4 linked regions of the Ovis aries genome follow. The protein of the gene in region 2 purifies or fractionates together with the protein of the main gene of each other region. This does not show direct contact. Links are inferred from orthologs where the notes say so. Each region holds a gene or a part of one and is shown on either strand. Other genes may lie near its edges.

What was found.
Region 1: the proteins of GSK3B (region 2) and MYH9 purify together in Homo sapiens (affinity purification with western blotting; 4 studies listed by BioGRID, with this or other methods). This does not show direct contact. The link is inferred for Ovis aries from reciprocal best matches to the Homo sapiens genes GSK3B and MYH9.
Region 3: the proteins of GSK3B (region 2) and AKAP11 purify together in Homo sapiens (affinity purification with mass spectrometry; 4 studies listed by BioGRID and IntAct, with this or other methods). This does not show direct contact. The link is inferred for Ovis aries from reciprocal best matches to the Homo sapiens genes GSK3B and AKAP11.
Region 4: the proteins of GSK3B (region 2) and AXIN2 purify together in Homo sapiens (affinity purification with mass spectrometry; 9 studies listed by BioGRID and IntAct, with this or other methods). This does not show direct contact. The link is inferred for Ovis aries from reciprocal best matches to the Homo sapiens genes GSK3B and AXIN2.

What each region holds. Positions count from the first base shown.
Region 1 is NC_056056.1:180,445,405-180,453,208, reverse strand, and holds the start of MYH9 (myosin-9), read left to right. Parts: upstream 1-3,784; 5' UTR 3,785-3,835; coding exon of another isoform or gene 3,836-4,076; intron 4,077-5,256; exon of another isoform or gene 5,257-5,436; intron 5,437-7,804. Other genes in the region: uncharacterized protein LOC114114032, read right to left, coding at 1,908-1,981, 3,099-3,484, 3,836-4,076. UniProt on the Homo sapiens protein: Cellular myosin that appears to play a role in cytokinesis, cell shape, and specialized functions such as secretion and capping. Required for cortical actin clearance prior to oocyte exocytosis. Promotes cell motility in conjunction with S100A4.
Region 2 is NC_056054.1:185,710,972-185,718,820, forward strand, and holds the start of GSK3B (glycogen synthase kinase-3 beta), read right to left. Parts: upstream 4,610-7,849; coding exon 4,522-4,609; intron 1-4,521. UniProt on the Homo sapiens protein: Constitutively active protein kinase that acts as a negative regulator in the hormonal control of glucose homeostasis, Wnt signaling and regulation of transcription factors and microtubules, by phosphorylating and inactivating glycogen synthase (GYS1 or GYS2), EIF2B, CTNNB1/beta-catenin, APC, AXIN1, DPYSL2/CRMP2, JUN, NFATC1/NFATC, MAPT/TAU and MACF1.
Region 3 is NC_056063.1:12,780,219-12,787,989, forward strand, and holds the start of AKAP11 (A-kinase anchor protein 11), read left to right. Parts: upstream 1-3,827; 5' UTR 3,828-4,091; intron 4,092-4,277; exon of another isoform or gene 4,278-4,352; intron 4,353-4,464; exon of another isoform or gene 4,465-4,564; intron 4,565-4,602; exon of another isoform or gene 4,603-5,148; intron 5,149-7,771. UniProt on the Homo sapiens protein: Binds to type II regulatory subunits of protein kinase A and anchors/targets them.
Region 4 is NC_056064.1:61,408,343-61,414,554, forward strand, and holds part of AXIN2 (axin-2), read right to left. Parts: coding exon 6,130-6,212; intron 6,031-6,129; coding exon 5,839-6,030; intron 5,560-5,838; coding exon 5,323-5,559; intron 4,789-5,322; coding exon 4,693-4,788; intron 3,576-4,692; coding exon 3,408-3,575; intron 490-3,407; coding exon 363-489; 3' UTR 1-362. UniProt on the Homo sapiens protein: Inhibitor of the Wnt signaling pathway. Down-regulates beta-catenin. Probably facilitate the phosphorylation of beta-catenin and APC by GSK3B.

The sequences.
Region 1 (7,804 bases), on a different chromosome or scaffold from region 2:
CCATCTTTCCCCCTTATTTACAGTGGCACCTTTGTAATAAATCAGATGACCATATACATGTTGATCTGTCAATTTTGTTTTAAATATGTATGTGTAGAGATTTGAAAGGGCTTCCCTGGTGGCTCAGATGGTAAAGCGTCTGCCTGCAATGTGGGAGACCTGGGTTCAATTCCTGGGTTGGGAAGATCCCCTGGAGAAAGAAATGGCAATCCACTCCAGCACTCTTGCCTGGAAAATCCCATGGACGGAGGAGCCTGATAGGCTACAGTCCATGGGGTGGCAAAGAGTCAGACACGACTAAGCAACTTCAGACTTCAGTCTGAGAAAGATTTGAAGGAAATAACATTTGTTAATAGGTGCTATAGTGAGTTGGTAAGGTTGTAGATATTTTTGATTTATTTTTTAGTATTTTCTCTACCAACCATGGGCTGGCTTCCTGGGTGATGCTGGTGGTAATGAACCTGCCTGTCATTGCAGGAGATGTAAGAGACGTGGGTTCAATCCCTGGGTTGGGAAGATCCCCTGGAGGAGGAAATGGCAATCCACTCCAGTATTCTTGTCTGGGAAATCCCATGGACAGAGAAGCCTGGCAGGTTACAGTCCGTACATAGGGTTGCAAAGAGTTGGACACAACTGAAGCAACTTAGCACTCATGTATACCAACCATAATACTATTTTAATACTCAGACAAAATAGATAAAATATTTTTCTAAAATACCACCAGGGTGTAGGTTCTAGGAGACAGAGGAAGGGTTAGGTCGGACAGTAAGCAGGAGGGTTTCCTGAAGTAGGAAGGTATCCAGGCTAGTAGATGATGAGGAGAGAATAAAATATTTTTCTAAAATACCACCAGGGTGTAGGTTCTAGGAGACAGAGGAAGGGTTAGGTCGGACAGTAAGCAGGAGGGTTTCCTGAAGTAGGAAGGTATCCAGGCTAGTAGATGATGAGGAGAGAATTCAGAGCTCAGCTGACAGGCCTTCCATCTTCTTAGGGACCTCAGTTTTCTGGAGAAGGTGGTGTAGGAGGTTGAAGGTGAGGAAAATAGATACGATCATCATTGATAATGCTCTGTTGTTAAGTACACACTGCTTGCTGCTGCTGCTAAGTCACTTCAGTCGTGTCCAACTCTGTGTCCGACCCCATAGACAGAAGCCCACCAGGCTCCCCCGTCCCTGGGATTCTCCAGGCGAGAACACTAGAGTGGGTTGCCATTTCCTTCTCCAATGCATGAAAGTGAAAAGTGAAAGGGAAGTTGTCGCTCAGTCATGTTTGACTCTTAGCGACTCCATGGACTACAGCCTACCAGGCTCCTCTATCCATGGGATTTTCCAGGCAAGAGTACACACTGCTTAGCAGTTTATAAAACACTTACAGGCCCACTTCTCCTGTGTTCTCCCCAACAGTCCTGCAGGCAAGGCCCTGTGATTGCACTCATTTTATGGATAAGGAAATGGATGCTCTCTGAGTCTTGTTCAAGCATCCACTTAAGACCATGTTATGTCAAGCCTTGTGTCAGTTCTGGGTCCACAGAGACATTTAGGGCATATTTCCTATCCGCTCTCAGGCAGCTCCTAGCTCAGGCAGAGGAAACAGTAAGTATATGGACAATTAAAAGCTAATGTATTAGTGCTCAACAGAATATTACTCAGCTGCAAAAAGGAATGCATTTGAGTCAGTTCTAATGAGGTGGATAAACCCCTAGTCTATTATACAGAGTGAAGTCAGTCAGAAAGAGAAAGACAAATACTGTACATTAACACGTATATATGGAATCTAAAGATGGTACTGACGATCCTGTGTACAGGGCAGCAAAGGAGACACAGGTGTAAAGAACAGACTTTTGGACTCAGTGGGAGAAACAGAGGGTGGGATGACTTGAGAGAACAGCATTGAAACGTATACATTACCTTATGTAGAATAGATAACCAGTGTGAGTTTGATGCTTGAAACGGGGCACCCAAAGCCGGTGCTCTGGAACAACCTAGAGGGATAGAGTAGAGAGAGAGGTGGGAGGGGGTTTCAGGATGGAGGGGACACATGTATGCCTATGACGAATTCATACTGATGTATGGCAAAAACCATCACAATATTGTAAAGTAATCCAATTAAAATAAATAAAGTAAAAAATATTTTTAAAAATCTAGTGTGTTAGTGCTATGAGAGATAAATGCAAGATGATGTTGGGGTGAGTCTCTCCCAGTTTTAGAAAAATTATGCAAGTTATATATGCTGCAAAGAAGAACTATTAAACTCATCTTGGTGTGCTTTTCCAATTATTACTTTATGATTAATTATCAGAAAAATTGATCAACTTACTTTCTCACCTGTAATCTCTAAATCTGGCTGACGGTGGACATTTTTTATTCTTTTTAAAAAAACTTCATAGGTGAAAAATGGCATTCCATGAACATTTTTATTCCTTCTTTTTAAATAGACCGTTCCTTTTTGGACCATTTTTATTTTAAAGCATTTCGGGTTTACCTTATGGGTGCATATTGTTGATATTCACATATTGTTGGTGATTCTTTGTCACAGAGTTGCAAAACCTTTTTTCCGGTTTGTCTTGCCTATGGATCATACTTTTTTTGAAGCTCATTTGGAAGCTAGTCATAGTAGGAATAACATTCCAAAAGGAAAGAGTAATAAGAAATTTTCCCTCTTAGATATAATATGTATTATAGAGCTACCATCCTTAAAGTGTTGTGGAACTGGCACAGGAACACACAGAAAGACGAATGGATACAACCCAGAAACAGATCCAAGAATATATGAGTTGGTAGGTGATGATGGTGTGTGGACAGCTGGCTATTACAAAAATTATATTCGATTTCTTTCCCACTCCAAAATTAAAATGAATTCCAGATGGATTAAAAATGTAACAAAATCTTTTTCTTTTAATGTAACAAAATCTTTTAAAAATTAAAAAAAAAATTCTGTAATCCTCTTTTTGTGGGCAGTAACACACACACACTGCGCTTTGCCAGCCTGAAGAACCCCAAGAAAACATTTTGGAAAAAATATCTGAAAGGAAATGTGCGAGTTAACCACGTGGAGGTAAAGAGAGGCTCGGAAGGGCACTCCAGGCTGAAGGAACCCACCGGAGCAGATGTCTGGAGGCTGAAAGACTGCAGCGTGCGCACTCCAAAGACAGGGTCGAAAATGGAACTCAGGGCGCCCACAACGGATCCGAGGCTTGAGTCCAGGTCCGCCCCCACAGGCCATCTGCATTGTAAAATAGCACTTTTCCCATATATGGTACTTAATATCTGTTCTGGTATCAACAGAATGACATGGGTCAGGGAAAACAGCTCGCGGGGCGGAGTGTCAGCAGCCCGGACTTTCTCAGTCGGCTCCCGCCGGGCCTCGCCCGGAATCAGGCAATGCACCAAAATCCCTGCCGGGATCCGCTGAGACTCTACTCCTCCTGGTTGGATTCTCTCTGTGTCAATCCTTCTCCTGGAACCTGGCGGTTCGTTGTGCCCGCCTTAGGGGGCGGGGCTCCCGCCTAGGAAGACCAGGGGAAGGTGGAGAGGGTGGAGATGGGGGCGGATGGGAGAACGTATTCCCACCCCTCTGGGCCTATAGGTTCCACCCACTGCCTTTCCACAGGTCAAGCTGTCTGTTCATCATGAGCAGCAGCTGGTTGGAGTGGGTGAGACAGCTCGGGGGCGGGCTCGTCCCTTCAGGCTCCGCCCCGCAACCGGCGCCGGGCTCGGAGTGGGCGCGCTTTGAGAGGGGCGGGGCGGCAGGGCGGCGAGGAGCAGCGCAGGGTGCGGTGAGGCGCGCAGATCCTAGCTGTTCCTGGGCAGGGCACTGAAGGCTGAGCGAGGCTGACCTGCTGCAGCTCCCGCCTCGCGCGCTCGCCCCACCCCGCCGTCGCCCGAAGCGCTCGAGGAAGCCCTCTCGGGAGAAGCAGCGCCTGTTCCCCGGGGCAGATCCAGGTTCAGGTGAGCGAGCCCCACCGGCGGGTCCCGCCCCGAGCGGGTGAGCGGGGGTGGCGGGGACCGGACGCGTGGAGTCTGGGCGAGCGGGCCGATGAGTGGTTCTCGGCCTCCGCGCGGCCGGCGAGCAGGCATGGGCTGGGGAGAGCGGGCTGGGCACCCTTCACAGAGGGGCCCCGGGACCCCCGCGTGGATGCTCGGTGAAGACGCCGACGGAAGCCAGACCGGGGAGCCGAGGAAGGCTTGGGGCCGGGCGCTTCCCGGAAACCCTCCGTACCCCCTCCCTGCCCTCCCGCCGGCGCACTCCGCAGCCCGGGCACCCGGGAGCCTCGACCTCCCCCTGCCGCCGGGGCACGCGCCCCGCCCTCGCCTCGCCCAGTGCCCAAGTTGGGCAAACTTTTTAACCCCTTCCGGGCAGCCTCTGTCCCTTGGACACAGCTGCTTGGGCGAGGTTCAGGTGGGGGGCTCGGGGCTGCGGCTCCTTGGGAAGTTTCCGGGCGTTTTCGAAACGGGGGTAGCGGGCAGGCGGGGACCGTTTGGTAGCTGTCAGGGCGTCCTCCCGAGTCAGAATCGGACAGTCCTGCAGCAGACATTGCTCTTGGCCCGGTTTCCGCCCTCGGCTCCAGACTTCCTCATTCGCCCGGGTGCGATCGGCTGGTCGGAGGAGGGGGACCGGGAGAGGTGCTGCCGGGTGCTTGGGAAAGGGGACCCGGTGGGGATCCCGGCTCGAGACAGGAAAGACTTCCCCCTCCCTCACAGATCCACATCCTTTGACTTTTGGCCTCTGCTTCCTGGGAGTGGAAGGCCCGGGAAGGCCCGCACCAATCTCCGCGACCCCGGCGCGCACCTGATTCCAGCGCACCTGCGGACCGCCCCAGCAGGGCGAGGGCGGGGAGAGCTGGGTTCTGCTCCTAGAGGATCCGGGCTGGGCTATTGCATCGTGCCCGTTTGGGCCAGATCCAGGGTTTTCTACTTACCCCGCTACCCCCCGCCCCCCGCCCCAAATGTCTTCTTTCAGGATCCTGATCTCCTGCTGTCCAGGGGCCACGCCCAGGGCAGGACTTCACCCCTCACCCCCCTGCGCCTACCCCCCGCCCCCCACCCGGGCCTGCACCCCCCCCCCCCCACCGCGCCCCCAAGAGCCCAGGTGTCTCAGAGACGGAGTATCTTCCTGGACTAGGTTGCAGATTGTCTTGAGGTGTGGGGGCAGGGTGAGCACCGGGGCTGCTATCTGCGGCCCCACCCAGCTGGTGTGGGGAAAAGGTTCCCGGGAAGTCCCAGGTCCTATGCACCGGCGGATCTCTCTCCGCTGGGCAGTTGAGAGACCCAGCCGCTTCTGGGTTCGCTGCACCCTTTCCTGGGCTTAACAGGATTGCAAAGTAACTGTTGAGTAACTGTTGAACTGGAAGAACCTTAGCGCCTTCCTGCAACACTGTGGCCATTTCTGAGTGCTGTCTGAACCTGTAACCTCACCGGGTGGTTTATTCCCTTTATGGTAAGAAGGGAGGCTGGTTTAAGGCCTATTTAGACAGTCACTTGATTAATATTAGTCAATTTATATACAAGGCTGCTGGGAGTGGGGGGAGGGTACACAGATGTGTAATTGAGCAAATATTTAACTGGCTCCTCTGTGCCAGAGACTCTGCCAGGTGGTGGTGGGGTGTGAGGTTGAGTAAGACCTGGCCTGTGCCCTGGGGCATTTAGGGGAGAGCCAAGACAAATCCGTAGATGACTCTAAGGTGAGGCGAAGATGACAGAGACCCTAGAAGGGTGCTGTGAGTCATGGGATTGGGAGAAGGGAGCCAGCCCGTCCTATGGAGAGCCCAGAGGCCTCTGCCTTAGGGGAGTTTACAGTCCTCAGGGGGAAATAGTGGCCCAGTGACTGAAATACAGAAGCTGCCTGTGATGAGTGTCTCAAACAGGCCTCAGACAAAGGATTCGAGGAGTTCTGAGAGGGGCCACTTCTGTCTGGGATGAGAAGGAAAGCTGCCTCGAGGAAGGAGGACATGGCAGGTTTGCCAAACCGAGGCAAGCATTCAGTGTTGGAAAGTGAGGACTCATTTACGATAATTGAGGTGTAATTAAAAACGTCAAGAGATTGCTCAGTGTAATTTGAGAGCCGCTGTGCCCCCCAGATGGCTGCAGGGTGACACTAAAAAAGCTCTGTTCTTCAGATTCAGCAAGTCCCGGCAGTGCCCATGGCAGATCCAGGTGCTCAGATTGGCAGGCAGTGTCTGGGGAAGGGCAACTCCCAGAGGTGCGTTCTGTGGGGCTCCTTGTCTGAAGGGCAGGTGAGGGTAGAGGAAAAGAGAGGGTCAGGGCTTTCTGACTTTTATTTTTTATTTTTAAACTGTTAACCTAAGGGGTTGGAGATGGGACAACTTCCCTCTCACTGGATGAAGGACGCATGTTAATCACAGCCTGCCTCTTGCCCATTCTTGCTCCAGCAAAAAACAAAACACGGATCTGTTAGCTTTTCAAAAGGAGAAAAGCTCACTCAAAAAATGCTGCATTGTTGTGTCGCCTGGTGGAGGGTATTGCTAGAAGCCAGGCTAACTGTGCTTTCTTCACTTCCTCTTCTAGCTAATCCTTCCATAAAGTACTTAAGACAGCCCTTACCAGCTTGACATCTTTATTTCAAAAGGAGAGGAGGAGTTGGCTGTTGTTTTCCTCTGAGCCTGGCCCTACCCTTCTCTTGGTGGGGGTGGGGGCAGTGGGGAGGGGTGGCGGAGAGAAACCCCAGGCAAAGGAAAAAAAAAAAAAATCCAGGCCTTGACAGCTTCCTCCCAAGCATCATGTTCCAAAAATATTTAGAATAACAATATCTGTGTGTCGTCTTAATTAAACAAACCTCCTAATTTGCTGAGCATAATACAGCATCTCTGCCCACAGGGGCAGGAAGTGCATTTTCCCTTTGTGCAGCCCCAGAGAGTCACTGCCTCTTGGCTTTAACCCTTGGTGTGCTGAGCCCCTGGGCTTAAGCCCTCTGGTGACAACGGAATGGAACCCTGGCTGCCCCCTGGGAAGCAGTAGGCTTGTGACTTAACGGGATCCGGTTCTTCATGAGAGCTGGGAGGAGTGGAGTCCTGAGTTTTGGCACTAGACAGCATTCAGATCCTGACCCTGCCACTTATATGACTGTAGGCAAGTCACTTAACCCCCCAAGCCTCAGTGTCCTTATCTGTAATACAGGAGTCATGATACCCATCCTACAGAGTTAGATGTGGGAACTAAAAGAAATTAAGTATGTAAAGGGCCTGATACATAGTGACTGTGTACATTTTTAAGAAAATGTATGTGGTCAGTCTTCATTCCCTGGGTTGTCAGGTAAGGAGACAGGATAGGAAGGGTAGATGGTTCTTCTGGCTCCTAGCTCAATGCTCTTTCTGCTTCTAAAAATGATGTGCTCTGTGTGTGTGTTTGCTTATGGACCACAAAGCTTGAGTGGTAAAAACAGATGGTTCCGGGGCCCATCTGCTGATGTTCTTGGTGATGAGCTTGTGCTCACTAACCTTGTTGCAGGGCCCCGGCTCAGGCAGAAGATACACAAGCTCACTGTGTTTTAGTTCTCAGACACAGCTTCCGTGGTCCAGGGGAGAGCTAAGGGGTGACATGGAGGTACACTGGACCTATTGTCTGGAGGCCTGGCTTCTGGCTCTGGCCCTGGTTGGGGGTACATTTGATTTTGCTAGAAGGCATGTACTGCTTCACAGAGACACCACACCAGTTTATGTGTCTGCCAGTTATACCCAAGAGAGTTTGGGAAATTGAGACACGCAGGAATTTAAATTTTTCCATAATGCCCCAGTTTCTTAAGTGCCATTATGCCCTGCTGATGGGGTCTAAGTTGTAACAACTCTCTT
Region 2 (7,849 bases):
ACACCACTCCCTTCAACTGCCGCCCCTCAAAATAGGCTACAAAAATGATGCTAAACATACCAATAAACTTATTTACTCATGGTGATTATGTTCTTAGTAGAACAATATCTGGGAAATCAGGTTGGTCCTGTTAGTACCAGATATAATCCCATCACACCCACATGCTCTGCCCCTCCATTCTCCTCTTGCAGGGTGGAGCATCACAAGAGACTCCACAGTCCCACAGCCTGCCCACTATCCCATGAGTGTTAAGCATGGAACTGTGGTACAGCCTTCTCTATACATAAAGAAAAAACACACACAAAAGCAGACCTCCCCTGATCTCAGAATCTGCTGCTGACACTTAAGCTGGCTTCCCCAGCCTGCCTGTCTCTCCAAAACAGTGTCTCACACTGGCAACCCAAGTCCACAACACGGGGCAGACAGCACAGGGTACAAGTATGTGATGATTTCCAGCTGAAGCACGCAAATGAAATGAGAAGATGTCACCTCGTTTTCTAAACGCAATTCCCAATCAGTCGTGAATTGATTTATGAATCTCTGGGTTCCCTTGTGCCTTTAAGTCATTTCACAATTAGCACTCTAGGGGTACATTTAACAAGACAGCATGCAATTCTTATATGAGGGTCTAGTTTTTTAACAACTCTGGAAAGGTCTGGTTGGGAAGGGAATGAAATTTTAACGAAGATAAAATTCTGGTTTTCAGTTTCACACATGAGCTCTCTTTCACATTGGAAAATCTAGAAACTAGTGAAATTCTAATAACCTGATTTTTATATGACACAAAGAGATTAAACTCTCTCAGGAATAGAGTAACTCTAAGTTGCCACCTACTCTTTGGCTTTAGCCACCATGCAACTAAATACTGCACAGCAATATGCAACTACTATTATTCTCTTCACTAAAGAAATTTGATATAAAAAATCCTGTATGAGGAAATAACTTCTCATGACTTAGCTAGGCAACTAGCTAAATTTTCACTAACAGTTTATCAAAAGACTTATTACTAATATTTTAATAAAAAATCACCATAGCACCTTACTGCCTCCATTTTGAGTAAAATATCATGTGACTCTACAGAAGAACTGTCTAGCTATTAACATTTATCTAATAACACTTGAATATGAATGCAGACCAAAAAAAAAAATAGTTACACAACATTGAGGTTTAAAAAAAAAAAATCAAATATACTCTTCTAAACCGGATGAACACTTAGCGCAACCAAAACACAAAAAGTAAATAAATGAATAAATCAACTTTTAATTTCTGCTGAAGTCTGCATATTAACATTATTTTAAACAGCAAGGTTTACCTAAAATAACCATTATTTATGAAACTAGTTTTAAGAATGTACCAAAGATTGAAGGCTGTATAAAATACCTAAAATGCTTATGTTACAGCTTAGTCCAAAAAATATTTTCATTGTTTTCAAATAAATTACCATCGGGTTATTATAACTAGGTTTCAAGTATGAGATCTTTTGAATTTACATTAAAAATTATTTTCTTTTTGAGAAATGGAAAGAATATAAATAAAAACTTTCAGTTTACTACTCCTGAAAATAAATCCAGCATTTTTAGACATAGAAAAATTAGAGACAGTGCAATAAACAGACTGTTAAGTTAAATACGATAGCCAGTAACCAACTGCTGTCTGCTGAATTTCAAGAAAATCTAAATATTAAATTTTTAAAAAGTGAACTCATCTATCCTCCCATCTCAGCACTTTCTCAACTTTCCCATTACAATCAACAATATAACTTGGCGGTCAAATCTTCCAGACCAGTAACATCAGAATTTATTTTTAACTCCTGACTCCTTCCCAAATACTCCCCCCTTCAATCCAATCCAAAGTCCTACCAGTTCATTCACGCTGTCTCTCAAATGTGTTCTTTTCATCCGATTTTCAATTTTGCTTTATATTGCCTCACTATTCACAACATACTCTACTACTCCCTAAAAGGGCTCTGACGTCTGGTTTCTAATTCATCAACTTTGCTGCCCAAACCATCTTCAAATATTTTGTTCATCAACCTATAGTAAATTCCAAACTCTCTTGAATCTCAACCATAATCATAAGCCCCCTCTGCTTTCCATCAGTTAACATATTTCTCAAATTCCATCTCTTCTTATTTTCCTATTTAGGCCCCTTTTATTCAGATTTACTAACCTGCTTTATAAATACAAAAATACAAAAGTCACCATCTCTGTGCCTCTGTCCATTCTGTCCACCTAGAATCCTTTATGCTTCTCAATATAAGTTACTGCCTCCTTTAACACCTGCCTTAAAACATACCTCTGTAAGAAGTCTTCTCTCCAAGCCATCTACCTCATGCCTTTATTTTTTGTTCCTCTGAACAAAGTATTCTATTTGCATTTATAATCTTGCAGTCATCATATTACTGTTTTCACGTTTTGTCCCATAATCTGCCTCAAAAACTGATAAGCTTTTCAAGGCAAGGACTATAATTTCTTATCGCTTAAACAGGGGTCCCTTAGAACACCAGCATTCCAACAAAGGCTTTCTTCCAAAATGTATTTAAAGTTACGGTTGTCAAAAACACATAGTCAACACTGAACTCCAATCTTTTAAATGTTAAGCTGACCTATATGGTAACAGAAAAGTCAACATTTTCACCTGCACTTTGCAAGAGTTACTCCATCTTCAGTCAACATCCACAAAGGATTCATAGAAAATCCTGTGAACTAAATGAAAAGTCCCCAAATTTAATATTATTAGGTATCCCATTCTGCTCTCTGAATAAACTAATTACCTAAAATTGATTTCAAGTGGTCTTTAAACCAAGATGAAAAACATCCTAACACTCCAGTACCACAAGAGGCTCTTAAGGAGCTATTATAAGATTTGCTTCATCATAGCTGAAAATTACCCCAGAATTTTAAAATATTCCTCTCAAATGACCCCATGAAGTGCTTAGAAAGCTTGACCATTCCCTGAAAGATGCATCATCAGCTTCCCTCTTCACATACTCTGCATTCTGAACTAGCTAGTCACCAAAAAAAAAATTTAACTCTCAAAAATAATCTCCCATTCAGCTATTACCTTAGACTACCCTGTTTCAGACAAGTTCCAAAAGCCACCATGAACTGAAATCCTGAGTTCAAGTAAGAGTGTTCATTTTATAATCAATTTCACATAACAGCATATACCTTTTTAAAAAAAATCTCAATTCAATTCTCTCCTTCTTCTAAGCAGTAAAAGTTTTTCTTTGCCCTCATTCATGCTCCTTTCTGAAGGAATAAGGAAACTATAATAGATATTTTTGTCGAATTCTTTAAGTATATTTAAATAAACTGACATTAAATATCACATAAACATATCCATAACTAGAGATACGTTAAAACACTGGATACTTAGTATACCAAACACTCAAAATAGACTTTTTGAGCACAAATCTGGGAAGAGAGTATAGACGTCTAGCAACAGCCTTGAACAAAGCCCAAATACCTCTATTAAATCTGGGACCACAACCTTCTGCAAAACCTATGATGATAAAGTCTAAATCCATATTCTTCTAACTTCATAGCCTTATCTGAATTCGAAAGGAAAACAATGCGAGAGTATTGTAAGCAGTCCTAAGAAGGAACATCTGAACTCTAGATCATTTAGCAAGTACTGAAAGCAATGGCACCCCAAAGCTGAACTTTAATGATGAGTCAGTGACAATTAACATTCAACTTACTATTTAGCAACATGACAATATAAGCCCCATTCAAAACTCGGACCTACTTTCAAGTTACCTTTTGATTAAACATTAACTCTATAGTGGTAGATTGGCAATGTCAAAACGGTAAGGTTAAGAGATAACATATTAAACCGCGTATCCAATTTAGAACAATGCATGTTGAGATACTACTGCTACTGAGTATCTATCAGCGGTACCCGTCCCTTCTAAAGAGACAAATCAAAGCTCGCCTTCCAACCGAAATGTGGTTACTTAGCGAGTTCATCTCTGGATTAAGAACAAACACTTTGTATAGTCACACAAGTAAGAAAGAAATGTTAGGAGACGGTGACATTCACCTCTTCCATTAAGTATACAAAACTATGGTAACCCTCGAGACCTGAGCGAACTAAACTATCCCTCATTCCAAAAGACACACTCTGGAAAAGCACATAATGGTTTATGAGTCTTGTCCTTCGCTTTAATCAAAAGGATGAGCAAGTAAACACTTCCATCACTATTTTAAGGTGGAAACACTCAACCACTTAATAAAGCTGACTATCAATTGCTAGAAAACTGTAAGAAAAGAACTAAGTTTCAGACAGAATCATCTAAATAAAAATCCCATTCCCCCGATTCAAGGTTAATGAGACCGGAGAAGGGATATGGGAGGAGGAAAAAAGGAAGCTGCCTCATCCTTGACTGAAGACAGGTTTTTGCCCTTTCCCATTACCTCTGTTTTATCAGCAGGTCTCGTATTTTAAGATCCTGGTATTTCAAAGTCTCTTATTCAAAGGGGAGGTGGAGAAGGGGTGTAAAATAAAATCAATACTCACTGCTAACTTTCATGCTGCCAAAAGCTGAAGGCTGCTGCACTGGCTTGCAGCTCTCCGCAAAGGAGGTGGTTCTGGGCCGCCCTGACATGATCACTCTTTTACCGAATCACCTTTTTTCCTTCCTTCCTCCTTTTCTTCCTTTTGTTTTATGTTGGGGTGTTAGGTTAATGATAAATGCAGCATTAAGTTTTCCCACAGGAAAAAGACTTCGTCCTCTTGCCTTTTCACTCCTTTTGTACAGCTATTTAAAAAAGCGAGCGATGTATTTCTCCTTGAAGACAGATCAGTACGGATATTTAACATATAGACGATCCGGGGCTGGGAAAAAATTACAATTCTTTCCCCTCCTTTTCCTTGGAGGGCAGAAATGGGTGGGAGATCCTAAAAAATATATATCACGTGAAACGGGGACAAATACTGGATTGAAAATAAGTACTCTGAATATTATATTTTCCTCGGGGATTTTTTTTCCGAGTCAATGAAGAAGGGAAGCGGCGGAAGGATCACGAGTCTCACGCTTGAAAAGAAGGGGGGATGGGAAGGAGGGAGGGAGAGGGAGGGGTGGCTCGGAGATGCGTCGGGAAACGCTGCGGCTCCGGCAGCGGCAAGGATCCGGCGGGCTGACGGTGGGGGCCCGGCGAACTGGAAGGCGGCGGAGTCGCGAGTCAGTCAGAGTCGGGCGGTGGCGGCGGCTCTTCCCCTCATTGCGCCAGGAGCAGCTGCAGGCGGCGGCTGGATCCAGCGGCCATGGCGGCGGCGGCGGCGGAGGCAGCTCCCTTCAGACCCCAGGCAGCGGCTCCTCGACTGCTCCCCATACGCCGGGGACATGGGAACCCGGCAACCGCTTCCGTCCCTCGGGGGCCCCCTCCCCCGTCCAAGGCACCAGCGCGGCCGCCCTCCCGCCCCTCGCTTCTGCACAGTCCCGCTCAGGAAGTGTCCGCGCTTTGCCCCCAGTCCGGAGCCCTGTCAGCGGCTGCGGGGTCGGCTCCTCCTCGCTTCCTTCCTTCCTTCCTTTGTCACTCGGCCCGGGCGGCGGCGGCGGCGGCGGCAGCAGCAGCAGCAGCAGCAGCAGCACGAGCCCGCATTCGCCCGGGTCGGGGGCTGCTCTCTGTGAGGAGTGCCGTCTGCGCAGCCGCCTAGCTCTTCCCCACTCCCCCTCCCCCCTCCTACTCGTCCTCCGCCTCCTTCCTCCCCCACCCAGCCTTACACCGCCCAGCGCCCCGCCGCCCGCGTAAGAGGCGTCTGGGAATCGCCGGCCGAGCGGGGCGTCCGCCCCCTTCGACAGGGGAGCCGAAACCCGAGCGGAACCAATCACGGATGTCGTTTGTTTGCGGATCCTCCCGGAAAAAGCCGATCGACCTGAAGAGCCAATCAGAAAGTGTCGCTGGAAATTCACGCCCAAGGACGGAAAATGCCGAAGATAGCCGACCGAGGAAAAGGTGGGTTCGCCTTGTTCTGTGGCTGGCTGGAGGAGAAATTCGGCAGTGACCAATCAGAGTCGCTGGCCCTCAGGAAAAGCTTGAAGAGTTAAGGACAGTGAAGCCCGGAGTCGCTGGCGAAACCGCACGGCTGGGCGCCGTGGCCGCTTTGTAATTGGCCGAAACTCCGCTGGGAGTGCAGCACCCTCGGTGATTGGTGAAGGGAATGGGGCTTCCGAGGACAGTCTGGCCAGTCAGGACGCCTCCTCCCTCGCCGAGGTGGGGAGAAGTAGAGAGCGAAGGGAGGGCGTCTATAAAGCGCTTTTTCATTGGCCTGAAGCTCAGGAGCTGGAATGGGGGCAAAAGGGAAAGGGAGGGAGGCCGAAACTCGTAGCAGTAGCCAATCTGCACTCGCTGCTGTCTAATCGCAAGACCTAGCTGCAGTATGATTGGCCTTCAGCCTCCGGCGGCAGTCCTAGGAGCGGGGAGAAGCGCGACTGGGGTCGTGGCGGACGGTCTGACGGCCTCGCCTGCGGCTACTCGCAGCTGGTGTGGAAACCGCATATAGGGAGCGCGAGGCGGTGCGAAACTGGTGTGGTCGGTGGCGCTGGGTCCCTCGCTCCAACAAACTGATTGAGGGGCTTTCCCCACCCACTGGAGGCTCTCTGTGGGGCGGGGCTAATTCTGCGCGCCCGGGGTTCCCCTCCGCCCGGGAGAGCGCATCCCGAGTACGGGCGTCTTTCCCGAAACGGTCAGACAGATCCAGGGCGCTTCTCAGGCCGAGTGCGAGTTTTCAGACATTAAACTGAGAACAAAGCTTCTAGAGAGGCAGCGCCCCTGGGCGACCGCGCCCCGCCCAGTCGCGGAGGCCATTGATAAGAGTGAGGGCGACTGCGCCTCGTGCGCGCTGCCAAGCCCGGCCTTCCAGAAAGGCCCCTGAGAAATGAGCTCATGCTGGCTGAGCGCCCTTCTGGGGTGCGACCAGTCGGCGCAGAACGGCCCCCGAAAGCAGGTGAGGGGAAGTGCAGTCAGGCCGGATATCCCGAAGCCTCTGAGGCAACGGGGAGCCAGAATAGCCCTTGATAGTTTTTAGTTTTTTGGAACGAGGGTGATCTATAAAAGTACTATTTAAGTAGGTTTCGCACATAGGCCAGTGTTCAGATTCCTGGGGTGTGCCCAAGGACAGTGAGTTACGGTTACAGAAAAAGTAAAATGAACAGTTGCCATCCTAATTGTAATCCCATGGTGCCTGTAATTTCCACCTGCAGAGTCATCCCTTTCTATTCAGATACCATCTGTAGCGAGCACATATAAAAATTACTTGATCAGGTTAACTAGCTATTGCTTTGGAAAACTGATGAGGAACTTAGGACAGAACAGAGTAATCTTTGATGGAGGACAGGAAAGGTCTAGATAGGGTTTGCAAACTCACATGTTTTTAGGGGCCAGAAAAGTAAAGTAAATGAGTGAAACTGGCCTGGTGTAGACAATGGGGAGTGACAAGCAACGTGGCAAATTGGAGTGTCTGTGCTGTAACTGAAAGGAGCAGCTGTTCGGCTCCAGCAGATTGTTGCCCTGAAGAATGTGGATACAGTGGTCTGAGATATTCTGTCCCCTTCCCCCCATCCCCACCAGGAGAAACCCTTATAAAGCACGATTTTTGTATGAAATCTCTCGATTTTTACACCAGTATTTCCAAACTCTGCAGGCCAAACTAAAAACATTCCAGGGTAGATGTGACCAACCTGCAATCAATTTGTAATCTCAAATCTGGACATAGGTTTTTGATAGTCCAGGAGTGGTAGAAGCTCTTGTTCTTTGCAGTGAAGACAGAACATGAGGTCTCTGGATGTCATGGAGAAGGGTAAAGAATGTTGAAAGCAAACTCAGTGCATGGCACCTTTGTCAAA
Region 3 (7,771 bases), on a different chromosome or scaffold from region 2:
CCCCTTTCTTTCTTCCCTTTTTTTCTCCTCCCCACTCCCCCTCCTTCTCCTCCCTCTCTTTCTCTTCCTGCTTTCCTTATCTTTCTCTTCTTCCTCTTCCTTTTCCTCCCCCCACTCCTCCCCACCCCCTCCTTCTCCTTCTTTCTCTTTCCTCTTCCCTCCTTCCTTCCCTCCTTCTCCCCCTCCCTCCCTTCCTTCCTCTGAATAGTTACTGAATAACTACTAACACCTGCTGTGTGCCAGGCATGTTTAAGTAAAAACAGATGTGGTTCCTGCTCAGGGATCTTGCAGTCTAGCAGGGGAAAGAGACAAACAGTAACCAAACAATTACTCAAATAGAAATCATTTTAAGTTGATGAATGCTTTGATGAAAAGGTAGAGAGTACTAGATAAGGAGGAGCTTAGTCTGGGGAGTTAGGAAGAGTTCTTGACGAACCGAGAGCAGAGCAGGATGCTGGCAGATTTACGGGCATTCATTCAGAGGCTGAGGGGAATGGGCAGAGGAAGAACGTTTACTAAGGAAGGAACAGCTTGTGGGAAGGCTCTGAAGCAAGGAGGTCTGGCCCTACCTCCAGGAACTGAAACGAAGGCTATCTGAGAAAGAATGACATCAGAGCAGGGAAGAAAGTTAGGAAGATCACGGGTAGACCAATCAGACGCCACTGAAAGGTTTTAAACAGGGCAGTGATATGGCCAGATGTGAAACACCCAAATAGAAATGCCGGCCTTCTGGGGATGAGTGCAGATTTCAAACAGCAGGCAAAAAAAGACAAAGCTAGGGGCTTCCCTGGTGGCCCAGTGGGAAAGAATCCACCTGCCAAGGCAGGAGACACAGGTTCAATCCCTGGGTCTGGGAAGATCCTCTGGACAAGGGCATGGCAACCTACTGCAATATTCTTGCCTGGAGAATCCCATGGACAGAGAAGCCTGGCAGCCTAGAGTCCACGAAGTCCGGAAGAGTCAGACATGACTCAGTGAGTAAATACCAACAGGAGCAAAGTAACTCTGCTAGGAGAAAAAAAATATGGACTTGTAAACTGGATATATATTATTTTTAAAAGTATTAAAAAAGAATAAGCAACATCCACACAAACAGCTCCAAACTGGAAATAAAACAAATGTCTATTAATTGACAAATTGATAAATAAAATGTGCTATATCCATACAATGGAATCATTATTGGGCAATAAAAAAATGAAGTACTGATACATGCTACATGATACATGGATGGCCCTTGAAAACATTAAATGACTTGAGTGAGACAAATGACCACATATTGGATAAATTTGTTAATACAAAATTTTCAGAATAGGAAAGTCTATAAAAATTTTTTTTTTTATAAAAAAAGGTGTTGTATAGGGCTGGGGACAGGGTGGAGGATTGACTGCTAACAGATAAGGGGTTTCTTTTTGGGGGAAAAAAAAATTGTTCCAAAGTTAGATTTTGCTAATGATTGGGCAACTCTGGGAGTATACCCAAACCACTGAATTGTACATTTGAACACTGTATGATAAGCGGATTATATATCAATCAAGCTGTTAAAAAAGAAAATAAAAAATTATCTAGAAACTAGGGACACCTGTAGAAATGGATTTCAATCCTAATTTCTTCTCATTTTATATTTGTTGGCCTAGAAATAATTGTAGATCGCAAGAGACAACAGTGACTGTCTGCTAGCTTGAGTTGGGAGCATTTATTGCTGTTTTAGTTTAGGTTAGAATGAGAGAGTTGCGCCCATTGTGCATTAAACTAGCAGTATGGAGCAGCTGTTTCAGTTAATCATTATAAGGACTGCAAACAGCATTCAAAGAGTACTTACTTGGTTCCTTCAGCATTTTAAATGAATGCTCTTAATATGTAAAATAATACTTATTCTCATTCAGTATTTTTCCTTTCCAAAAAAACCCTATAGTGTTGAAATCTTATTTTCATTAAAATCAAGGTGTTGGCTTAACTTTAAAATATTGCTCCAGATCTTTAAAACATTTCTTTTCTAGTTCTTAAATTCTGATTAGGAATATGTGAGTCATTATTACATACTGCATAGGTTCAAAATAGCTACAGAGAAAGGGAATATGAGGTTGAGGTGGTGGAATGCTTCCATTTTCACACTCTGAGAAGGCCAAGGTTTCTTAGGGAAGCATTCCTGGTATCTGTATTAATCAGTTTGATAGTTTCTCAGCTGCTGTGTGTGCGTGCATACGTGTGTGTGTGTGTGTGTGTGATAGTTTCTCAGCTGTTGTGTGTGCGTGCATACGTGTGTGTGTGTGTGTACGATCTTCCAATTTCACTTCACTTGTGCTGCTGACTCTGTTAGGTTTTTATAAAAATTCATTTCATTTCCCTTTCCAGCTTCCCTCTTGCGGGTGTGTGCATGCCAAAATATAATTCAGGCTTAACCACTTTGCGTGCAGGCTAGTTCATTGTCTTGTTTTATGTATGAGGAAGCTGAGACTCACAGATGATAAGGTACCTTGCTTGATTTGGTTGAGTCACCAGTTAATCGAGTTCTTCTAGGTGGAACTCAGGTCTCCAGATTTCTGTTTCTTGTTAGGGAAACATCTCCATTTTCTAGCCCTCGACCTCTATCTTTTCAAATCTTATACTCATGAATAAATATCTACATTGAACATCATTTTATGTTGGCTATTCTTAGAACTGACCTTTGTACAGAAGAGGTGGTAATCTAGGAGTTGTAAACGGAGGGGGAAAAATCAAAGGTAACGATTTTTGGGGGGCCATTCGTTTTCCCCTGTAACAAAATTTCCCATTTATTTCTCCAATTTTAATTAAACAGCAGTAACTGAAGAATATCTAGATTTTTTTAAAACAAAATATGGCAAACAGAACCAGGACTCTGACCTAACAGATTTTAGAACAAGAATGTCAATGTCAACCGGAAATTAAAAATTTCGGGGCTCCTTCTTACATAGATTATAATCCTCTAATCTCCCATCTTCCTCTGTGGCCTTAAGATCCGTGCTCTGCAGCGAAGAGCTTAAAATTATTAAACCATAGACGTCTCTTCCCTATTTAAAACTCTCCAGTGCTTTCCACTGCATTCAGAATAAACTAATTTCTATATTGGCTTACAAAACCCTACAGGATATAACCTGTGCTTGTTTACTTCTCCAAGCGTGTTTCCAAGCTTACTTTCCTTTTACTTTCTCATACCTTCCCCCTCAAGCCCAATTTAGGGCCTTAGAATTAGCAGTTTCCTTTGCCCCAAATGCTTCTGTGATATTTGCATGTCTGTTATGCAAACCGCTTCTTAAATGATTCCTCCTCAAAAGGGCCACTCCATTGCAATCGTCATCACATCATTCCTTGCATTTCTTTTGCGTGGAGCTTAACATCGAGATATTTTTCTCCCGAGGATGCTCAATCGAGAGTCTGAATAGTCCCTAACATAGAAGCTCAACAAAAATTTGTTAAGTGAAGAAACGAACATATGAATATGCTCTTTCTTCCTTGCCCTCCTCTCTTCCAACCAAGGCAAAACTCATGACGATGCAGTTAAAAATGTCCTCATCTATCAGGTATCTCCACTCTTGAGGAAAAGATGTCTTCGAGGAGGCTGCAACTTCACTGGACTAGCCTTCCGATTCTACCTTGATTCTAAACATATTAGCTTTTCATCTCCGTCTTGATTTCTCGGTGATCAAGGCTTTACTTCCCGATTCTGACATCGCCTCACGACGGAAAGGTGAGCACTAGGGCCTGGAGATCCCTTGATGCCAATTGTTGAGGTCTGCACGGGGCCGTGGGCCTGGAGCGCTGTGAGTGGTCCTCCGGGAAATGCAGGGAGGAAGGGGCGGAGCTGTGTCAGAGGATGAGCCCTTCTAGAGCCATCGGATCTCGAGGGGCTGCCGCTATGGGAAGGGGCCCCCGGAATCAGAAGCAAGCACAAGCTAGGGGCGAAGAAGGAGCCCAGCTGACCTCCGGCGGTAGAACCTAGGGGACGAAGGAAAGGAGGCAGGGCCTTACACCCGAACCGCAGAGCAAGCCAAGGTTTGGATATTTTGCCAGAGGAAAGGGTTAAACGGTTCCCCAGGTAACGGACCAGGAAGCGCGCAAGACGTCTGCGGGAGGTTCGTAGGTCAGCCTCGAGTTTAAAGCTCCCGTGGGCCAAGCGGACTCTGACCAATGGGAATGCCGCTGGGCGTGGTCACGTGACGCGCGCGGCCATCCGGCAGGCAGCCCCGGAGCACGTGGGAAGGCTTGTTCCTGTTCCTTCTCTCCCGTTTAAAAAGCCCACCCACTTTTTGCGCGGGCTTGGTCGCGGAGTTCTTCTCGCGAGAGGCGGGGAGTCCTCTCGCGAGAGCGAGTGGGAGGCGTGAAGACTCTCGGAGGTGTTGCGGGGTGGACCTGTGGTGGCGGAAGCCGGGGGCGGGCGGGCCGGCCGCGGGGCGGGGAGGGGGGGAGGGCTGGGGGCCGCTGCGGGAGGGGGGCGCCCGCCTCCTTGGCCGCTCGCGCCGCTGGTCGTTGCGGGCGGGTGTCATGCTTGTGAGCTGCGGAGGCTGCGGCCCCCCAGGTGAGCCTTGGCGCGGGTCCGCCAGCTGAGGTGAGCGGCGCCCGTTGGCTGGGGCGGCGGCGGGGCGTGGGGCCTCGCTGGATGGAGCGGCCGGGAGCGGCCCGCAGCCCAGGCTCTGACTGCGGGGCTGCCCGGAGCTGCGCCTTCGCACGGCGGAGGGAGGAGCGGGGCGGGGAGAGGCGAGGAGAGGAAGCCCGAGGCTCTGGGCCTGAGGAAACGGGGACGGGCGACCTCGGGCTTCCTGGGGTCTGAGGGCGGCGGCGGGGCGGCAGCTCTTTGGGTGACAGACAGGCCTAGTTTCCGTCCCCTAAGGTGGTCTTCAGAGCCGGGGCCCCGCCGTGCGTGCTGCTGCGTGTGCCTCGTTGGTGTGCGTGCTGCACGCACAGAAACCTTTGCGGGAGGAATAGGAGGATGCACTTTGTCCCCCGAACCAACAGCCATCCTCTGTCAGATCTCTTTGAGCCCTGGAATCGGGCACAGCCCAAATATTGTGACAAACGGAAAGCGTCAAGCAGCTCCTCGGCGTGCTACTTGGATTTATCCGCTCCCAGATTTCCTTCAGCGCTGTTAAACGGCTCAAATGCAGGCCACCACTCCTCATCTGAATGGACTGGGTAGACTTACTCTTTTATTCCAGGCACTTAAATTGCCTTATTAAAAAAAATACGTGGGTGTGCCCAAAGTGTTAAAAACGTTGGCAGAATAACAATGGGAGTAGAATCTGAACCGCAGTGTATGACGTGGGGACAGGCTTTCTGGTTTCCTTCCACTGAAACCCCTGGTAAACTGGAGGTAGTTTAGCTTAAGATGCTAAGGAAATAACAGGGTGAGAAATACTGCTGAGACATATCTGATGGCCTTTTTGCAGCCTGGCGTTAAACATTCTGGTTCGCTTTTCAGCCTTGTAATTCCTAAGTCCCTTGCAAAACTCATAAGCTTTCCTTACCTGTTTTCCACCTTGTTAGGGATGATGTATTGATTGATACTGATTTTGGTATGTCTGGAAATAGGAAATGTACTCAGAAAATTCAGGGTTCTCAGCAGTTATTTTAATGTCTTATTATTATTTATGGTTTTAGAGGAAATGGCATCCCAGTGCCCAGCACAATCACTGTCAGTCTAGATACTACCATTTTAATGAAGCTCTTTAAACTCACAGTTATATTTTTCAGGAAGTACACTGATTATGCATACTTCTCTATGGCTCTTGTGGCAGAACTGACCCAAAGGTTGACAGTGAATTTCACTCTTGGCTGTAACAGAAGTTTATGAGAAATCTGAGAATGTAAAGGGCAGTCAGAACAAATTCCCCAAATTGAACTGGTACCTAGTGATGAATATCTGTACCCACTTAGCTGCTCTGTTAATAAAGGCCTAGTGGTTTACCTCCAGGCTGATGATATCTCCCAGTTATTGAGGAGATGGGACCTGCCGAAGACCCTGAACCACAGTAAGAAATTATCTAGCTTTTCAACTCTTCAGAGAAGTCTAGAAGCTGAAGAAGTCTTCCTTTGCCTTTCAAGGCTGGAAGAAGGATGGTGCATTTGTTTTTCTTTTTTTTTTTTTTTAAATGAAAAATTCCAGGAACTTAACTGTCTGGAAAAGTAAACCAAATCAGATGATAAATTTTAGGTTATTCTTAGGGAAATTTCCACTAATGAGTAGGCTGTGCTGTTATTTGTACTTGGAGAAAACATGAAAAACTTCAGCAGTATCTTTCTGAGAATGGGCAAAAGAGACTTATAGATTTAAGAAGTTCTCTGCCATTTCATCTTGGGAAGCTGATTTTCAGGGATAGAAAAACTTTTTTTTTATTTTGCTGGTTTTTATCACTTGTTGGCAATATTTTCAGGTTTAGGATGTAGATACTTGTTAATGAAGTCACTTTGGGTAGGGTGATTATTTGATAAGCTAAACTATTCTTTTTCTGGCCTGCATTTTAGTAGTAAAATCAGTGATTTAGAGGAAATGAGGAATGGGACAGGTCAGGAAAAGATCTAAGCTGGCCTGGGCTTGAGTTAAGGGTTAGTGTATAAACTGGTAAAGTAAGGAAAGAAACATACTTCTTCAATTTAGGAACAAATCAGACAGCTCCAAGTGGCTTTATTCTGTCACTTATCTTCATATATTAAAGTTTATTATAAAATATTAGCATCAAGGCATTTGAAATGTATAGGTTAGAGCCTGGACAAGAGAAAAGAAAACATTTTTGGACTAATCAGAGAATGTTTCATGGGAAAAAATAGATAAATGGCATAGAGGATTGGAACAGATTAGATATTACTTGAGTGAAAAAGAGGTACAGTGTAAAAGAAAAAAGTAAAAAGAGTTTGTGTTTGGGAATCCAGCAGATCTGTTCGTTGATATTACAAAGCCTCTTTTTCTTCATCCCTGACAGGAGAGTTTTTAAAACCTTAGTTACTGTGAAGCACATAGTAACTGCTTACCCAGTGTTTTTTCTTTGACCTCTTTTAATGTCTTGAGGATTATTTGCCTGCAAGAAACAGAAACCGTTTGAATTAACTTACTTAAAAAGGGCGTTTGTCAGACAGAAGCGTCTGAAGTCCAGCTCAGCGTTTGGAAACCAGAACAGGCAGTTAACCAGCCTGTTTTCCCCTGGGAAGCCATGACATGGGTCTTGTGTCTCTGTTACTCTGTAATGTCTTGTTTCGACTTCTTTCAGACTGACTCTTTCAAGTTCTTGGTTTCTGTTTCCCCGTACCTTTGGTTTGTATGAGACTTTGGTTTGCTTTAGTGCCGACACAAGATGTTTTGATTTTGCAGTATGGTTCTCTAGAGATATCTTCATGTCTTAATTCCAAATTTCTGGAGAAATAGATAGTCCAGTTGGTCAGGTACCTACTTGTAGTCCTGTTGCCTGAGGGTGGGGAAAGATGGAGAAGATGTAGGTGTGCCCTACACGAAAGTCCCAAAAAAGTCCCACAGTTTGTATTTTTTCAGGCTGGGTACTATAAGTTCTGTAGTAAAGGGGGTGTGAACAGGCAGGAAAAGGTGGGTACTTCCGGTGTACTCTGACCTCCTGCAGTTAGAATTTTCCCCTTAGTAATCCTCTGAACTTGTTCTCAGCAATGATCTCCTTCAGGACAGGTTCTAGGTGTATGAGGGCCAAATGTGTATGTAAATCAGGTGTCCCCAACCTCTAGGATCTAATGCCTGATGATTTGAGGAGCTGATGTAATAATAGAAATAAAGTGAACAATAAATACAATGTGCTTG
Region 4 (6,212 bases), on a different chromosome or scaffold from region 2:
CCACCCTGAACAGTCCGTCTTCACGCAGAGCTTAATTCTTGGTGACAGAGAACCACGAAAATCCCTCTCCCGCGTCCACACGCGGGGCGCGGGGGGCCTGTTCAATAAATACCAGCAGGGACTCCTGTGCAGGTGAGCCGCGGCTGGATTCACAGCCCGGGTTGTCGCACAGGACGCGCGGCAGCCTCTCGGGCACAGTCAGCATCGCCGGCGCCGAGTGGTCCCGTTTCTCAAGAGCAGTTCCGGCTTTCCTCTCCGCAGCGCCGGGCGGCCCGGGCGGGACTCGTCCCGCGCCTCCGGCATCTTCACCGCGTGGCTCTTCCGCCGCAAGGCGGGGTCGCGGGCGCCGCGGCGAGGGGCGCTCAGTCGATCCTCTCCACCTTGCCCAGGATGCGGCCCTCGTACATGGGCAAGACCACCTCGTCGTCCCAGACCTCCTCGAACACCGCTCCGCAGGCGAACTCGTCGCTCGCCTTTTTGAAGTAATACCTTAAAGGGAAAACCCAACAAGCGCTTGGTGAAGGGGCACTTTCCACGCGTCTTGAGAAGACTCTGTCAACAAGGCGGGGACCAAGGGGTCTCGAGAACGCTGCTGCGTGGGGCTGGCAGGGAAGTTGCCACTGGGATCTGCAGTGAGAGCCCCCGGGCTGGGTGAAGGGCAAAGCCAGGCGGGCGGCCTGGAGGCAGTGGGCCAGGCTCCTCCTCCCCGCATAGCTGCCAGCAGCGTTGAGGCTGCAGCCTTCAGTCCAGGACGGAAACCTGATGAACAGCTGCTTCTTTCTCCCCAGTTTCTTTTGGGGGTGGGTGGGCAAAGCATGCCTGGAGTTCACCTGCAGGGCAGCCTGGGGAGGCCCCTCAAAGAGCCCTCAGACTCAGCTATCTGATTCTGTGAAGCCTGCGGGAGGCGGGTACCTGTGACACTCCCCACCCACCAGTGCCTGACTGGGCTCGGGCACAGCTGGGGGCTCGGGCACAGCCGGGGAGCAGGACTGGCTGCTTCCGCTGTGGCCACCACCGGAGGTGGGCAGCTCCCTGCCTCATGGGGCCACTGAGACCCCCCCCCCCCCCCGCCACTGTGACTCTCCCCTCTGCCCCGGTCCCCTCGCTCCCTGCCCCAGGGTCAAACGCCAAAAGCCCCTATTCTGTGTGGATGGAAAGGCCCTGGGTCCCACCCTGGCCTTCCTTCTTGAAGCCACTTGAAGGCACCGGTGCAGATGACCAGCCCGTCCCAGGAGAGTCACGCCTGAAACGACTGCTGTCCTGTCTGCCCGGCCCACCCACGTCCCTGCCTGGACACCATGCCAAGTCCTCTGCCTCCCCCCGCCCCGGCCAGGGAGACCCCGCAGACAGACTAAACTCGCCCGTGAAGGCTGTCGCCTTCAGGCGGCAAAGGCCCCTGGGGGAGGGGAACAGCTTCTCAAACAATAAACGTGTGACTGCGTCTCAGGGTTACGGTGGGCCTCTGTTTTTATCTTTTCTCCTTAAAAAGCTTAGAGCTAAACGTCTCTGCTCTTCAGTGAAGGCAGGCCAAGTACTCGGAAAGCCGATAAGGCTAGATACGGTGAGACAGCTGGAGGTACTCAAGGGGCTGGGCTACGGGGGCCAGCAGTGGAGACGCCGGTCCTGGGTGGCCCGCTGAGACAGGGCACCGTGGGTGGGGGGTGGGGGGAGACAACAGTCTTGTTTCCCTGGAGAGGCTCCGATGCCCCTGGCACCCCAGGCCCACAGCCCTCGGGGTCAGCACGGACCAGAGCAGGGTGGCTTCCTGGCCTCTCTGAGCAGGGGCTCGTGGTGACCGTGTCCATAACTGCAACTTCCTCTAGGAGCCCTGACCCCGAGACGTCAAAGGCGTAGCCCCTGGCTTCTCGCCCCTGAGACCTGCTTCACGCCCTGCCTCCCGGGCATCTGGCCTCTGAGGGCGGCTCCCCTCCCAGCCCTGCCCTGCAGCCCAGGCCCCAGCCCATCCTCGCTGGGAGTTGGGGGCAGGGGGCAAGGTGAGTGCGGCAGCACGCAGGCTGAGAAGACCAGGGGCCAGGGGTCCAGCTCCGGCCCGGAAGGGCGGCAGGGAGGGCCCGCTCGCCACAGCCTGATCCAATCAGCAAGGAATGTGAGCGCAGAGTCCGCTCGTCAGAGGAGGGCTGGGGCTTCAAAGCCCGGCTCGCTGAGCGTGCCTCGGGACAGACAGGATCCAGGCCAGATGTGGCCAGAGCGTCCAAGCGGGGGCTGCCCTGCTCCATGCTCTGGGCCCCCCGGAAAGTCACCTGCAGTCCCACGCAAGGGCCAGCCGCGCCAAAGCTGAGGTCCTGATGGGTCCCTGGAGGGGGACGTGTGCCCCTACCCTCGCCTGGGTCTGTGCGAGATAAGCCAGGCCCGTTCCCCCTCTGTTCATCTCCAGAACCACCTCTGCCCAGGTGTGAACCAGGAAGACGCCAGCCCGGCCCAAGGCCTGTGGTCTGTCACTGGCACGGTCCCAGCCCTGAGCCCTGCTCCCTTCCCTGCAAACCAAGTCATTCCGGGCTGCAGGGGGCCTGCTCTGAAGGGCGGGGGTCTCGGGCCCGGGAGGTGGGCTCACCCATCAGGCCACTTGCTAAGGGATGCTAAAGTTCTCGCACTCCCTCCCTCGCTCGGGGGGGCACTGGGGCGGTAGCTTCTGCGCCCCAGCTGGGCTCCTCTCTGACCCGTGCCCCCTGACTGCTCCCCGCTCCTCGTCCTGGCCCTGCACATGGCACCCAGGACACAGCTGGACACAACCCGCATACTCCTCTGGGATGGAGGCAGCCGACAAGGCCAGCTAGGGCTCTGGATGAACCAGACAAGGCAAGAGAAAAGTAACCAAGGACGCCTGGGGCTGGCACGCCAGGGGCGGGGTCTGCACCCTGTAGGTGGGGAGAGGCCTGGGGGGACGGCAGGGCGTCTTCCCCAGGTCCTGGCAGGAAGAGTGGGCAGCCCTGTGCCCCCACACCCACCCACAGGTCCTGCCCTTTGTCCGCTTCAGGCCACCCTGCCTCACACTACCTGGGACCCAGAGCTGAGGGGGCACGATGCCACGTGTCATGGGTGGCAGTCTCTCCCGGACCTGCCCAAGGGCCGCCTTTCAGCCTCCTCATCAGTCTGTCCGACCCCTCTGTTCTCCCCACGCTCTCCCTTTCAGGCTCCTGCCCGGCTCTTCTGAAAAAGCCAGCTGTCCCCTGGCTCCTGAGTCCACTTCTCCTGCTAGAGAAAGCCCGCCCAGCCCTGTGCTATCTCTAGGAGGGGCAGGGGTGGGGGAGTCGGAGGAAAGGAGACAGAGCAAAGCCCCAGGTTGCCCGCCCACCTGGCCCCTGCAGGTCTGGGGGCTGAGAGGTGACCCTGGCTCTTGGTTCTGAGCAAACCGACTCTGGAGCAGAGGAAAGCCACAGGATGCTTACCGGTAGTTTCCCTTTTTGCTGAGCTGCTCCTTAAAGTGGCCCAAGGTCAGGCTCTGGGCCTTCAGCATCCGCCGGTAGGGGATCTCCTCCCCGCAGAAGAAGTAAGTGACCACCAGCTCACTGGCCTGGAGCGCGTGCATCCCTGCCAGCTTCCTGGGCTCCTTGTGGCTGAAAATGAGATGGAAAAGCCACAGGTCCAGCATTTGAAAGCGGTCAGAGCGCACACACCCCCAGGAGGTCTGCAAACTGTATCTTCAGAGGTGAGGCTGTAGCTGTGTGTGCCGAGGGCCCTGGGCAAGGTCATCAGTGCAGGGCACACAGGTGTGTGTGTGCCGCCCAATGGGAGGACGGAGCCATGTCCATTGGGGGGCATCACAGGGAACTTGCCTCCAAAGATAGGAACCCTCCCAGAGTGACCAGGACACCACACTCGCCCCAGCCAGGGTCTGTGGTTTCTGCCTCTGCCCAGGGATGGCGTGAACTCGGAACGCCAGGGCCCATGGTGGGGGTGTGTGGGGATCAGCCCTCAGTCACTGCAACTTCTGAGTTTTTGCAGAATGGCTAAAAAAAGCGCAATAGGCCCAAACACCTGGTCAACTTAAGGTCAACCAATTAAAACACTGTAGAGGTTTTTTTCTCTCTTTGAACACTACTCATGATAGAGCAGCTAAGGACGGACAGGTGAATGATTTCAACCACTTCAGATCTCAGCAGCTGACCACTCTTTTCACACACCGTCCCGGAACCAAAAGAAGCCTGGCTTCCCTGTCCGGTCACAGGAGCGTAACTTGACAACAGGAACTGGGGCATCGGCGGGGAGATGCTTTTCCCGCCACTCCCAACACCGGCCCCTGCAAGACAGCAAGGATGGGCCCTTCGTCTGTCTCTGCAACCGGGGAGAAGCGCCTTCCTGCTCAGTTCCACGCAAACGTTTTCAACCCATTAGCCTTCCAGGTGGATGGGAACAGCTTTTCCATCTGTGTTTGGGGTTCTCTAACCAGAAGCTAAAGGCTTCGCTCTCAGCTTGTGACCTTGAGCCAACCACCACTTCACGAAGAGGACACCCGCGTGTTACTACGAGTCACCATGCGTTCCTCTTGGACAGGGGTTTTCCAGACTCTGATCTATGGCACCATCTGGGTTTACAATTCCTTGTCTTGGATGTTAAAATCAAGATGATTTTATAGACTAAAAAAGTTTTCAAAAATTGCAACCCCTGACATGAATACCCTGAAAACACAAAGCCTCTGGGCAGACCTCAGCGTCACCAGGCCAAGACACTCACTCTTCCAAAGCTGGGCTTGGGCTGGAGAAGGGCGCGGCGCCCGGCATCCCAGGGCCCGGGTGGCTCCTGTCCTTCTGCTGGCCAGCCGCACAGCACCTAACACAGGAAAGGTTGAGAGGGATCCCTGGGGCCAAGAGAAAGCAGAGAGCCAGCCTCCCCTGCTTCCGACGTCCCCCGGGCGGAGCCCCACCCTGGCCTTGTGTGGACAGGAACTCCCAGGGCCAGGAAAGGTTGAGAGGGATCCCTGGGGCCAAGGGAAAACAGAGAGCCAGCCTCCCCGGCTTCCAACGCCCCCTGGGCGGAGTCCCACCCAGGCCTTGTGTGGACAGGAGCCCCCGGGCCTGGCCCAGCCATGCTGAGCCCTGGGCCCCCGGGACTACACGCGGCCCACCCAGGCCGAGGGCTGCAGGTACTGGATCCCCAGCGGGTCACAGCGCCTTGGAGCTCATCTCACAACCCCCACTGACTGGGACACTCAAGGAATGGGATTTGCAAGGAATTTCAGAGATTCCTTCTCTTTCTTGCAGGCACGACTGGCCAGATCCCAGTGAGCCTGTCAGAGCAGCTGGACCTCAAGGCATGGGTCCTCTGGCCTGCCCCGCCCCTGACTGCTGCAGCCTGTCTACTCACCGCTGCTTTGGGGGCTTGGACACTTCAGCCAGCCGGCGGCACGCCTCCTCCAGCTGGGCCAGGGTGTTAGGTGGGGTCAGGGGAGGCACCGCGGAGTCCTGGGTGCAAGCTGGGTGGGCCCGAGGAACAGTGCGGGGGTGCCCAGTGCCGCCCCCCCACAGGTGGTGGCGGCCGGCCCGCTCTGCTGGGGACATGCGGGCCGACTCCGTGGGGTAGGCCCGCTTGGTGCTCTGGGCGCTGGAGGAGAAAGGTGGAGAGAGGAAACCGAGGGTAAGAAATGCGGTTAGGAAAACTGGAAAATGTGACTCCACCAGCGAGCTCTCCATCCTGCCTCCGGAGAGCAAAAAGAAAAAAAAGATAGCTGGGCCATACCACCACCTGGCGCTGCCAGGACGCGGCACTTCTGCGGTCTCAGCGCAGCTGCTGGCGCTGGGAGGGCGGCAACCCCCGCCCCCTCGCTCCGGCCACCCGGACAGCCTACCCCCACGCCCCGGGGCGGGCCGCGCCGCGGTTCACCTGTGGGGCTTGGGCTTGCCGGGCCGCTCGCTCTCCAGCACCCACTGCCACACGACCTGAGCCCTGTCTCCTTCCTCCCCAGGCGGCTGCAGGGACCCCGCTCCTCCGGGAGCCCCGGCTTCCCTGGCCGGCACCGTGGGGCCCGGCTCGGAGCCTCTCGCGCTTCGTCTGGGGGGGACGCCGCCCCGGCTGCTGGTGGGACAGAGGAGCGCGTCCATCTCAGCCCCCGCGAGCGCCGCCGCAGCCCCGCCCCTCCCTGCCGCCGCCCCACCCTCGCACAGGGTCGCTCACCCAAGCTGGGCGGCCCCCGGGGGCTCGGGGACCCCGGGGTGGCTCTTGCACTTGGCGCAGCAGGAGAAGTCGGCGCCCGCGGG